Kluyveromyces lactis: one gene and its partners. The protein of the gene in region 2 interacts with the protein of the main gene of each other region in a biochemical or structural test. Links are inferred from orthologs where the notes say so. Each region holds a gene or a part of one and is shown on either strand. Other genes may lie near its edges.

Evidence for each region.
Region 1: the proteins of KLLA0_F03729g (region 2) and SEC16 form a complex in vitro, tested with the Saccharomyces cerevisiae proteins (2 studies listed by BioGRID). The link is inferred for Kluyveromyces lactis from reciprocal best matches to the Saccharomyces cerevisiae genes SEC24 and SEC16.
Region 3: the proteins of KLLA0_F03729g (region 2) and SAR1 form a complex in vitro, tested with the Saccharomyces cerevisiae proteins (3 studies listed by BioGRID). The link is inferred for Kluyveromyces lactis from reciprocal best matches to the Saccharomyces cerevisiae genes SEC24 and SAR1.

What each region holds. Positions count from the first base shown.
Region 1 is NC_006041.1:2,124,014-2,128,122, reverse strand, and holds the end of SEC16 (COPII coat assembly protein SEC16), read left to right. Parts: coding exon 1-3,501; downstream 3,502-4,109. Other genes in the region: MBA1 (Mba1p), read right to left, coding at 3,712-4,109. UniProt on the Saccharomyces cerevisiae protein: Involved in the initiation of assembly of the COPII coat required for the formation of transport vesicles from the endoplasmic reticulum (ER) and the selection of cargo molecules. Also involved in autophagy.
Region 2 is NC_006042.1:351,609-355,699, reverse strand, and holds KLLA0_F03729g (uncharacterized protein), read left to right. Parts: upstream 1-1,209; coding exon 1,210-3,984; downstream 3,985-4,091. Other genes in the region: KLLA0_F03751g (putative metalloendopeptidase), read right to left, coding at 1-261. UniProt on the Saccharomyces cerevisiae protein: Component of the coat protein complex II (COPII) which promotes the formation of transport vesicles from the endoplasmic reticulum (ER).
Region 3 is NC_006038.1:177,272-179,817, reverse strand, and holds SAR1 (Arf family GTPase SAR1), read right to left. Parts: upstream 1,173-2,546; coding exon 600-1,172; downstream 1-599. Other genes in the region: GTPase BMS1, read left to right, coding at 1-325; KLLA0_B02024g (uncharacterized protein), read right to left, coding at 1,650-2,546. UniProt on the Saccharomyces cerevisiae protein: Small GTPase component of the coat protein complex II (COPII) which promotes the formation of transport vesicles from the endoplasmic reticulum (ER).

The DNA of each region.
Region 1 (4,109 bases), on a different chromosome or scaffold from region 2:
GTGGAGCCCAAACTAGATTCAATTAATGTTATTTCGAACGACTCCATTTTGACTCTTGACAAGACTCTTGAACAGTTTCCGGGTCCGCTAATCAAGGGAAAATCAAAATCCAAAGATATTGCTAAGTGGCTAGATACTTATATTGAAGAGAAGAAACTAAAGGGTGCGAATGATACCTGTATTTTGCTTGAGCTCTTAAAACTGCGTTTGGATCCATCCTACAGTTTAAAAGCTGTGACAAATATAATTTACGATTCCAGTATATTGCTTCCTTATTTGTCTCAGCCGTTCATTCCAAAGGTTGCTGCCCCGAATGCTCACAAACTCGATGCCAATTCTTTGATTAGAGTTTTAACGTTATTGCAAACAGGCGCACATGACGATGCTTTAAATCTTTCTCTAGCTTTAAAAGATTATGCTATGGCATTACTATTGGGTAGTATCCTAGGAAAGGAAAAATGGTCGTCAGTTGTGGACCAGTATTTGACACAAGAATTTGAGCAAAGCAACGAACGAGACATCTCTTCTATTAATTTATTGGCTACAATTTTCCAGGTTTTCATTGGCAATTCTAAAAAGGTGATAGATTCTTTTAAACAAGATCCCACGAAACTAGAGTGGTCTCTAAATAACTGGAAGTTATTGATTGCATGTATTCTAAACAATTGTGAGGAGGTGCCTGCGAATGGAAAACTTTCCCCTATTGTGGTGGAATTTTTGCTTCAATTCGGAGAGCTTTTGGTCAGCAGAGGTCTTGTCATTGCTGGTTCCATCGCTTTTATCGTTGCCGATATTCCAATGTCCGAAGAGCCTTTGATTCCGTTTTCTTCTACAACATTCGAATACATTTGCTGCCCAAACTCATTTGAAAGTTTGATCTTATCGGAAATATACGAATTTACGTACGGTCAGAAAGATCCATCATTCTCCGGATTCACGTCATTGATACCGCAGAAGATAATTCATGCAGCTGGTTTAAGTGACTACGGTTTGAACAGTTCGTCAACAAAATACATGGATATGGCCCAAAGTATGCTAAAATCACTTCCTAAGAACTCAGAGACTACCTTGAAAACATTACGCTATATTGAAGATTTGAGTAATCAACTATCGTCTAGTAATGTAGGCTGGTTAGGGAAGCCAAAATTAAGCAGCGTATGGGGACAGCTTGACAAATCCTTCAACAAGTTTATCGGAGGTGACACAGACATTGATGAGTCAGAAACAGCAGCAATTGAAGACAAGGTCTTTGAGAAGTTTACACCAACTTCTTCGAGAAACCCATCCATGGCAGATTTATCACAAGCAGCATCCTATTTGACTCCTGCGTTGAATCGCTCACATATCAATCAGCTACAGTCCAATAACAGCTCGCTCATTAAATCAACTACGAAAATCCTACCGGCCTCATCATTACCTAGTAGAGAAACTCATTCTAAATACGGTCCACCACCACTACGTGATATGAAACCTCAGTCTAAAATTGGGGAGCTCTATGGCAGCCATTCTAATATAGAACCTTTGAACTCCACTGCATCTGCTCGTAACACTGTACATCCATCACACTTTGAAGAGCCTGATAACTATGTTAATCCCTCTGGTGCAACCTCTCTCGGACAAAAAGAACTGCCAAATTCCAACTCTACACCTGAACCTGTACTGCCACCTTTAGCTCAAGTATACCCTGGATATCAAATCCATCACGATTTATCAGATGGCAATTCTTCAGTCTCTTCTGGCCACAGACTCTATAGTAAGATGGGTGTGCCAAACCAAAATACTGCTTCATTCTGCGTTCCTTCCCCAATAGTCTCTCCACAATCAACGAAGCATCAATCATCTACTTCCAATAAGGCACTACCGTTAGAAAATCTATTCGATGATACAGTCACCTCGGGTTTAACCACTGAATCTACCCAAACTGGGAGTAATGCGCCACCTCGTTTCCATGAAAATGAACAACATTCGGTAGTTGATGACATTGTGGAAGAGATTGGGAATGAAATTGATGCAGAATTAGATGAATTACAGCACTCAGAGTTTTCAGACGATAACAATTTCGAGAGTACCGAACAAAATTCGATCTCTGGCGTTGAAGGGTCTGTTTCTCAGTTAAACGTCACCAATCAGTTACCTGTTGCAGAAAACTTGCAAGAAGAGGACAAAAATCAAGTAACCGATATTAATGTTCCCGTCACGCAAGCTCAACCGCTCAACTCTTTTTCCCCGGCCTCTTCTATTTCTTCTAAACCTTCTTCTTTGAAAAATATGAGTGTAGACAAAGCAGAACCTGCGAACCCTTACGCACCTAAGAATAGCTTCGGTGTTGCTCCACGCACTGCAAGAAAATCATACAATCCGTATTCACCTTCTTCTATTACGGAAAGTCATTCTATGGCATCCCTGCCTCAAACCTCAACTTCGCCTTATAACAATGATAATAATAGTGCTCCAGTTAATGAGACAGGTGGCCCAGAAGATCTTGCGATGTATGCGTATGGAAGCTATAAACTGTCCGGTGAAGATGCCAAACCGCAAACTATTGATTCTCCAAACGGACAGAAACAAGAAATTGAAAACAAAACGTCCTCACCACCTCTAAATTCTTTTGTTCCTTCTAATATTGGTCTCGGAGAAAATTTGATTTCTGTTAAATCTATTGGATTACCGGCACACTTGCAGAACGATTCACAAACATTGCCTTCTTCAAAAATCAAAGATCCTGTAATCAGACCGGTTCAAACCTCAAATTTCGTACCATTCATTGTCAGTGATACTAATACCGAAGAGTACTATGATGACTTGGTCGAAGACACAGAAGACGAAGATGAAGACGAACCTATTTCAGTAAAAAGGGAAATATCCGAAAGAAACTCGGAAAATCAAAACCAGAAAGTGAAAAATGATGAAGATGAAGATGAAGTTAAAACTGTGAGCGAGGATGAAGCCGGGAAACCTGATAAGAAGCAGAAGAACGAATCATCAGGAGGTTGGTTAGGCTGGTTTAAGAAGGATTCTAACGAGAAAAAACCTATTAAGGCCAAACTAGGACACGCGAATAACTTTTACTATGACGAAAACCTGAAAAGATGGGTTAATAAGGATGCTACTGAGGAAGAGAAATTGAAAGTGGCGACTCCACCTCCACCACCTCCTGTCGTAAAGCGTAAGATGTCAAAAACGCCTGAAATAAAACCCCGTCAAGGTTCAGTTGTGGGAGGTCCAGCGTTACGGACTGCACACGCAGTTATGCCCACCAATCCTTTGACCGGCAAACCGCTTGATCCTGTGAAAGACTTCTCCGATGATGCAGAGACAAAGTCGGAATCACCCGTATCTTCGAAACCACCTGTTTCGAATACTAATGTCAACTTATCTGGGTCAAAAGCAAACGGTCTAGATGATTTAATGGCATTGACTGGAGGCGTTAGCAGCGCATCGTCGACGAGAAGGAAAAAGAAATCGACTAGAGGTTACGTTAATGTTATGGAAAATTTATAACATCACTTTGTTAACTAGTTCTTCCGATAATTGAATTTCGAAATTGTTCTCAAGTGTATTGCATATAGCGTTAAATGAACCTAGTGTACTTCGACGTCTATGAATTTACTGAAAATAAATAAATATAGTCATTAATGATCATCTTTTACATTGGTATTTACAAGGTAGTATCGTAAAGCGAGGCCTTTTAATTACTAAGATATACTTTTATCAGTCTTTTTTAACAGGTGGTTGAACTCTGAACAAGTCTCCGTTAACTTTCATTCTTTCGATTACAATTTGGTTCGAAGTTTCGCTATCTTTTGGCAATTTCGCGTCTGGTGCACTCTCAAAAACAGAACCAGTTAATAGAATATCATTTGTGCTTGCATCGCAAAGGAAAGCGATATAGTCAATAACATCTCTGTCCAGTTTATCAGTTTTACTTTTCTTCTTGTCGAACTTAATTAACCTTTGTTTGGTATCAAACTTATAAATCAATTGAATTAATTCAACTGGACGACCGGGAATCATCATGGCTTGTGTGGAAACTAACTTTGGAACTTCATTGAATTTAATCAATTCCCAGTCCAAGGTAATGTTCGATGGGATTTGTTTGGCTCTCGCTG
Region 2 (4,091 bases):
GTTCTGTAACAATGGTACGTATTGAATAGTTAATTGCGCCGTAGAATTGTCATTTCCAGTGAACCATAGTAAGTTTTCACCAGGAGTCAAAGAAATAATGCACTTGAATCCGTGGTTGTTAACGGGAAACGTTAAGGGAGGGAGCTGCGAATGATGCACTTGGACAGAATTGGCATTTGTATTTATATTTCCGTGGACAATAAGTGCGGGTGTATGAACCTCTTCTCCGTTCTTGATGTTGTAAAATTGGATTTGGGACATCACTTGATTTAATTAAGGGTATTCTATGGTGTACCAGTGGGAAAAAGAAGCAGATTTGAGTGTCAGTCACAGGTATTAGCTGAATTACCAGTGTAGAACCTTATGATATCGAATACTAGGAACAATGGATGGATTGCTCGTATTTAAAATCGTTTTACCTTCGAGACATCTTGTTTAAAGATCTGATCCAAAATCTACGCACATTGTAAATAAAATAAGCAGACCTCGAACTTTCATATCACGTGATATAGCAAGGTTTATATCTCTAAATATCCATCAACAAATAAAGCACTGCATAACCACAGGTAGGTTCGTTAAAGCCCGTACAGTGTCTGGAGGGAGTATCAGTGACCCACAATCTGCCCGAAAGTTTTATCTTCTACAATGACCACGTCGACATTAATTACTTAACTATGTGATTCTGAGAGAACACGAACTATGATGTTACCCGAATATTATTATTAAAATCTGACAGCTGTCAATATACAAATACGAACTGCAGCATACAATACACATATGTCAATGATCAAAGAAATACAATATATGTAGCTAACATCGACTGAGCAATTGGCTAATAAAGCAGCAACCATATACATACGCTGGAAAAAGCCTCTCAAACCGCGTCAGTTTATTTAGCAGTTATCTTGAAAGGAAACCAAATAAAAAAAAAATTTCAAAAATCCAAAAACCCAAATTTCGATTCTTCGACAATAACAAAACGGGCCGAAAATTATAAAAACAATACACACATTTGATATTCAATTGCCATCGATTGAGGCATCTACTCTTTTGGATCTTCAACTTGGTAGAGTCAATAACTGTGTCAGGATCTAGGCGACTTATCAGAAGTTTATAAAGGAGAAGGCTCTTTGCATTGTATTTTTTGCAGATAAAAGAGAAAGAGTTACAGACAATCGAGTGATACAGGAGATCAAATTATACTGAACCATGTCACACCATAAGAAGCGTGTTTATCCTCAGGCTCAGTACCAAATTGCAGAAGGGATTGCACAGCCAATTGTTGGTGGAGGTGTTCCTCCGCAAACTGTAGGTGCTGGACAGCCGCAATTTCTGACTCCTGCTCAACAACATTTGCATCAACAGATCGACCAAGCAAGTAACGGCATTGGTAATATGCAATTACACAACGTTCCTGTGGTTGATCCTACTGCATTCCAGCAAGCTGGAACCCCGGTGCAACAACCACCATACGGTGGGGCTCCTCAATATGGCCAGCCAATGAACAGTGGCTACGGCGCCGATAACATATCCGGTGTTCAGCAGCAGTATCAGCAGCCAATGCAACAGCCGTATGGGCAAACGTACGGACAACAGCAGCAGCAACCACAATATCAACAACCAGGAGTAGGAATGGCTGTGGGTAAACCAATGAATCAATTGTACCCAGTTGATTTGTTCCAAGAATTGCCTCCTCCAATCACTGACTTGTCTTTGCCTCCACCACCGTTGATGCTCCCTCCAGAGAAGATGATTGTTCCTAACGATACAGTTAACAATTGTTCTGACCATTTAAGGTGCACTTTGAACGCCGTTCCAAAAAACAATTCTTTACTGAAAAAATCGAAACTACCATTAGCTATGGTTATCAGACCATACACTAAGTTAACCGACTCTGAATGTCCAGTGCCAACTAGCGAAGACGGTGTTGTGGTTCGTTGTAGACGTTGTCGTGCCTACTTGAACCCCTTCGTACAAGTAATCGAGAATGGTTTACGTTGGAGATGTAACTTCTGTAACTTGGCGAACAACTTCCCTCAAGCAATTGATATGAATGGTAACCGTTACGAGAGACCCGAATTCAACCATTCTGTTGTGGATTTCGTTGCTCCTAAAGAATACGCTGTCAGACCACCACCACCATCCACTTACGCTTTCATTTTGGACGTTTCTCAGGCATCAATCAAGAATGGCTTGTTGGCTACTGCTGCAAGAACTCTCTTGGAAAGCTTGGATACCATTCCAAACCATGATGAGAGAACAAGAATCTCTATTATTTGTGTTGATCAATCTCTACATTACTTCCGTATTCCTTTGGACGAAGAAGGTGACAACATTAAGATGTACGACGTCGCTGACTTGGATGAACCATTCTTACCTTCTCCCACTGGCCTATTGGTTCCACTAATTGAGGCTAGAAGCAACATTGAAAAATTATTGACTAGCTTACCAGAAATTTTCCAACAAAATATTCAACCAAGATTTGCCTTGGCCTCTGCTCTAAAGTCTGCTTTGAACTTGATCAGAGCTCAGGGTGGTAAGATTATTGTTGTTGGTGCCACTTTGGCCAACGTCGGTGAAGGTACATTACATAAGAGAAATGAAAAGGCTGTTGCAAATACTTCCAAGGAAGCTTCCACTTTATTGAACACTGGTGACGCATTCTACAAATCTTTCCCTATCGAATGTAACAAATATCAAGTTACGGTGGATATGTTTATGGCTTCCGACGATTATGTCGATATCGCATCTATCTCTAACCTAGGCCGTTTCACTGGTGGCCAAACCCATTTCTACCCTGGTTTCAGTGCCTTAAACTTGATCGATGTTACAAAGTTCTCAAAAGAATTTTCAAAACACGTATCCATGGATCTATCTTTGGAAGCTGTTATGAGAGCTCGTGGTTCGTCAGGCTTGAAAATGACCGGATTTTACGGTCATTTCTTCAATAGATCTTCAGACTTGTGCGCTTTGGCTACGGTTCCAAGGGACCAATCATACGTTTTTGAAATTGGTATCGATGAACAATTAACAAAGGACTTTGTGTACATTCAAATTGCTTTATTATTGACATCCAATGCTGCCCAAAGAAGAATTAGAGTCATAACTATTGGTATTCCAACTACTGATAAGCTAACTGAAGTCTATGCTTCTGCAGATCAGTTGGCCATCACAGCATACTTCGCTCAAAAGGCTGTGGAAAGAGCTCCTTCTTCTGGCTTTGAAGACACTAGAGAATTTTTCAACAAATCTGTCCAAGAGGTTTTGGCTACATACAAGAAAGAAGTTTTGACTTCAAACACAGGTGGCGGAGCTCCATTAATGCTCTGTAGTAACCTAAGAATGTGGCCTCTATTGATGCATTCTCTAACTAAACATATGGCTTTCCGTTCTGGTATTGTTCCGGCTGATCACAGAGCTCAAGCATTAAATAATCTTGAAACGTTACCATTGCCATATTTGATTCAAAACATTTATCCAACAGTATACTCCTTACATGACATGCCTGACGAAGCTGGTCTTCCCGATGAAGAAACTGGTGAAATTGTACTACCGCAACCAATTAACTCCACCTCGTCTTTATTGGAAAGATACGGTCTGTATTTAATCGACACAGGATTGGACATGTTCTTATGGATTGGCGGTGATGCTGTCCCAGAGCTTGTTACAGACGTGTTTGGAACCCCGGACATTATGGAAATTCCAATTGGTAAAAATGAACTACCTCTATTAGACGCTACTGAGTTCAACCTAAGAGTGAGGAATGTTATTACAAAGATAAGAGAACACGATGATGTTATCTTCTACAAAACCTTGCACATTGTCAGAGGCGCCTCACCAAGTGAACCAATGAACCATCCTTCTGCCAGGGAAGTTGCTTCTCTAAGATTATGGACTGCATCTCAGTTGGTCGAAGATAAGGTCCAAAACAGCTGGAACTACAGAGAATTCTTACAAAACATGAAGACAAGAATCTCGAAGTAAGTTTAAAAGGTGCTTCCAAGTTGCGTACATACCATTTTTTATGTAGATATTGAAACCATGAAATAGCAAAATCTTACTTTGCACACAACCTTACACAAGTGATATGT
Region 3 (2,546 bases), on a different chromosome or scaffold from region 2:
TTTCAAATCCCAGATCTATCAAATGAAACCGCAAAAGAAGAAAACATACATGGCTAAGAGAGCTGTCGTTCTAGGCGGCGAAGAGAAAAAGGCACGTTCCTTCATGCAAAAGGTTCTCACCATTTCGAATGCGAAGGATGAAAAGAAGAGATCCAAGAAAGCTGAAGAAAGGAAGGAAAGACTCAAGAAGCTTGCTAAGTTGGAGGAATCGAAGAAAGAAAAGGAGAAGCAACGTAAGAAGGACTTCTTCTCCAAAAACGGTAAAAAAAGACAATTCAACGACAATGACACAAGTGATGTTATGTCTTCCAAGAAAAGGAAATAAACTATGTATTTTAACCTATTTACATTGCATAATTTGAATGATAGAGTATAAAGTAATTGTTAAGAACCAAAATGAACTACTGTATTAGTTAAGAGTCGCATTTGGAGTTGATTCTGAGCTGGAGATTTTCTATGTTAATGCAATTCTAAGAGACCATGAGATTCTGAAACATAGCTAAGTATTTTATGCATATATGATTATAGTTATTCTTCTCCATGCTTATTAGGTGATATTTGCAGTTATTATATATCGTTAGTAGCGCTTGCTTAACTACTTAAATATATTCAGATAGCCACTTGAAGGCTTCAGAGTAACCAGACTTCATGACAACGGAACACATGAACAACTCGATAGGTCTTTGACCTTCAATTTTGGTATATCCAGTTGTGTTCATCAAACCCAATGCAGCTCTCAATTCAGTTTCAGAAACGGCACTTGGAGAGTCAATCTTGTTACCCAAGACAGCAAATGGAACGTTGTCCAATTCCTTGATTTGGAACAAAGCATCCAATTCAATACGTGCTTCGTTAAATCTCTCTGGGTCAGCAGCATCCACTAGGAACACAATACCATTAACTTCTGGGAAATAATCCTTCCACAATCTACGTGCTTGCAAATGTCCACCTAAATCAAAAGTGGTGAATTTGATATTACCGATCGCCAATTCTTCAGAAGTTGGGTGCCAAGTTGGTTGCAAAGTAGCTAATCTATCGTTCTTCAACATATGTAACAAGGTAGTCTTACCAGCATTGTCTAAACCTAAGAACAATAACTTACCATGCTTGTTCCATAATCCTAGGGATGATAGAATGTCCCTGAACCATCCAAATAAATCCCAGCCTGCCATCTTTTACTGTATTTTCCGTACAACAAATGAAGAGTCAATAAAGAATTAGTAGCTTAAAGTGCCGTAATTTTTAAGTCGAATTACTAACTAACAGTAACTAAATGAAGATCATAAACTTTGTTTTTAAAATATGCCTGCCTTTGTTCTTTTGAAAGACCAATCTGTTCATTTTCGTAAAACGGTCAAATGTTTCTTGATCTTCCTATTAATTGAAATCACTTGATACGATTGATATAAGATTACACATTACAACTATGTGAATATAACTTGGTATAAAAGAGCAATGCAGGATGTGAACGTGCGTTTATGAAAGAGCTTTGGAATCAGTTATTACGGAGGTGTATGGAAATTGCAACTTTTTAGATTTGCTTGTTGTTGTTTTTTCATTAGAAATATCAATTTGTGCTAAAAGTAACTGCTTCCTTTTATGCAAATACAGTTGATGCAAGAGTGCGCCGGAAATTACAATGGCGACCATCAGCTCAGGTTTATATGCTCATGTAGTGCGAGTACAGTTTTTATTGAAAGCTCAGTGATAAGAAGACCGTCTTGGGTGTCTTGTAGAATTAAAACTAAATTCAGTTCCAATTTAGAAAGAAGTTTCTTAGAGATACCACACACCTTACTAAAGTACGAATGGGAGTGTACATGATCTTCAAGTAACTTGGCAGCCAAACGGATGAATGCAATGAGCAAACGATGCGTCATGGATTCCGTGATCGGGTTTTCTAGATGAAATTTTCCACTTCCAGTGTCGAACTTTATGTCGCAATAGGTAACTAACAAGAAGGATGCTGTCAAATAGATAATTGGCGGGAATGAACATTTGGATTCGATTCTATCGAGATATTGGGATATGGAGAGAGTAGGAGCTGATTTCATCTGAAAGATTGCTCTAATATTGGAAGTTTCTTCGAGGTTCTCATGAGACCAATGATCTATCTCCATTTCTATGTCATCTTCGGTTTTTGACTTGGTCGCAGAGGGCTCATTATGCAAATTATCATTGTCATTAGAAGTGTCGCCACCGATATCACTATTTCTATTGTTATCATTATTATTTTGATTATTATTCTCATCATTAGTATTGTCATTATCATCATTGTTAATATTATCGCCATCGCTACTGGCATTATTATTGTTACTATTATTTTTATTTTTATTATTATTATTATTATTATTATTATTATTATTATTATTATCAGAATCATCATCATCAGCATTATCATCATTATTATCATTAACTTCGCCTTCATGATTTGTCATACCATTCTCAGCATTCTTACGCATATCAGAAGACAATAGGAGAGCGAGTTGCAGGAAATCATCGAGTATTTGTAAGGCTTCTCTGGATGTCATTTCTAAACCAAACAC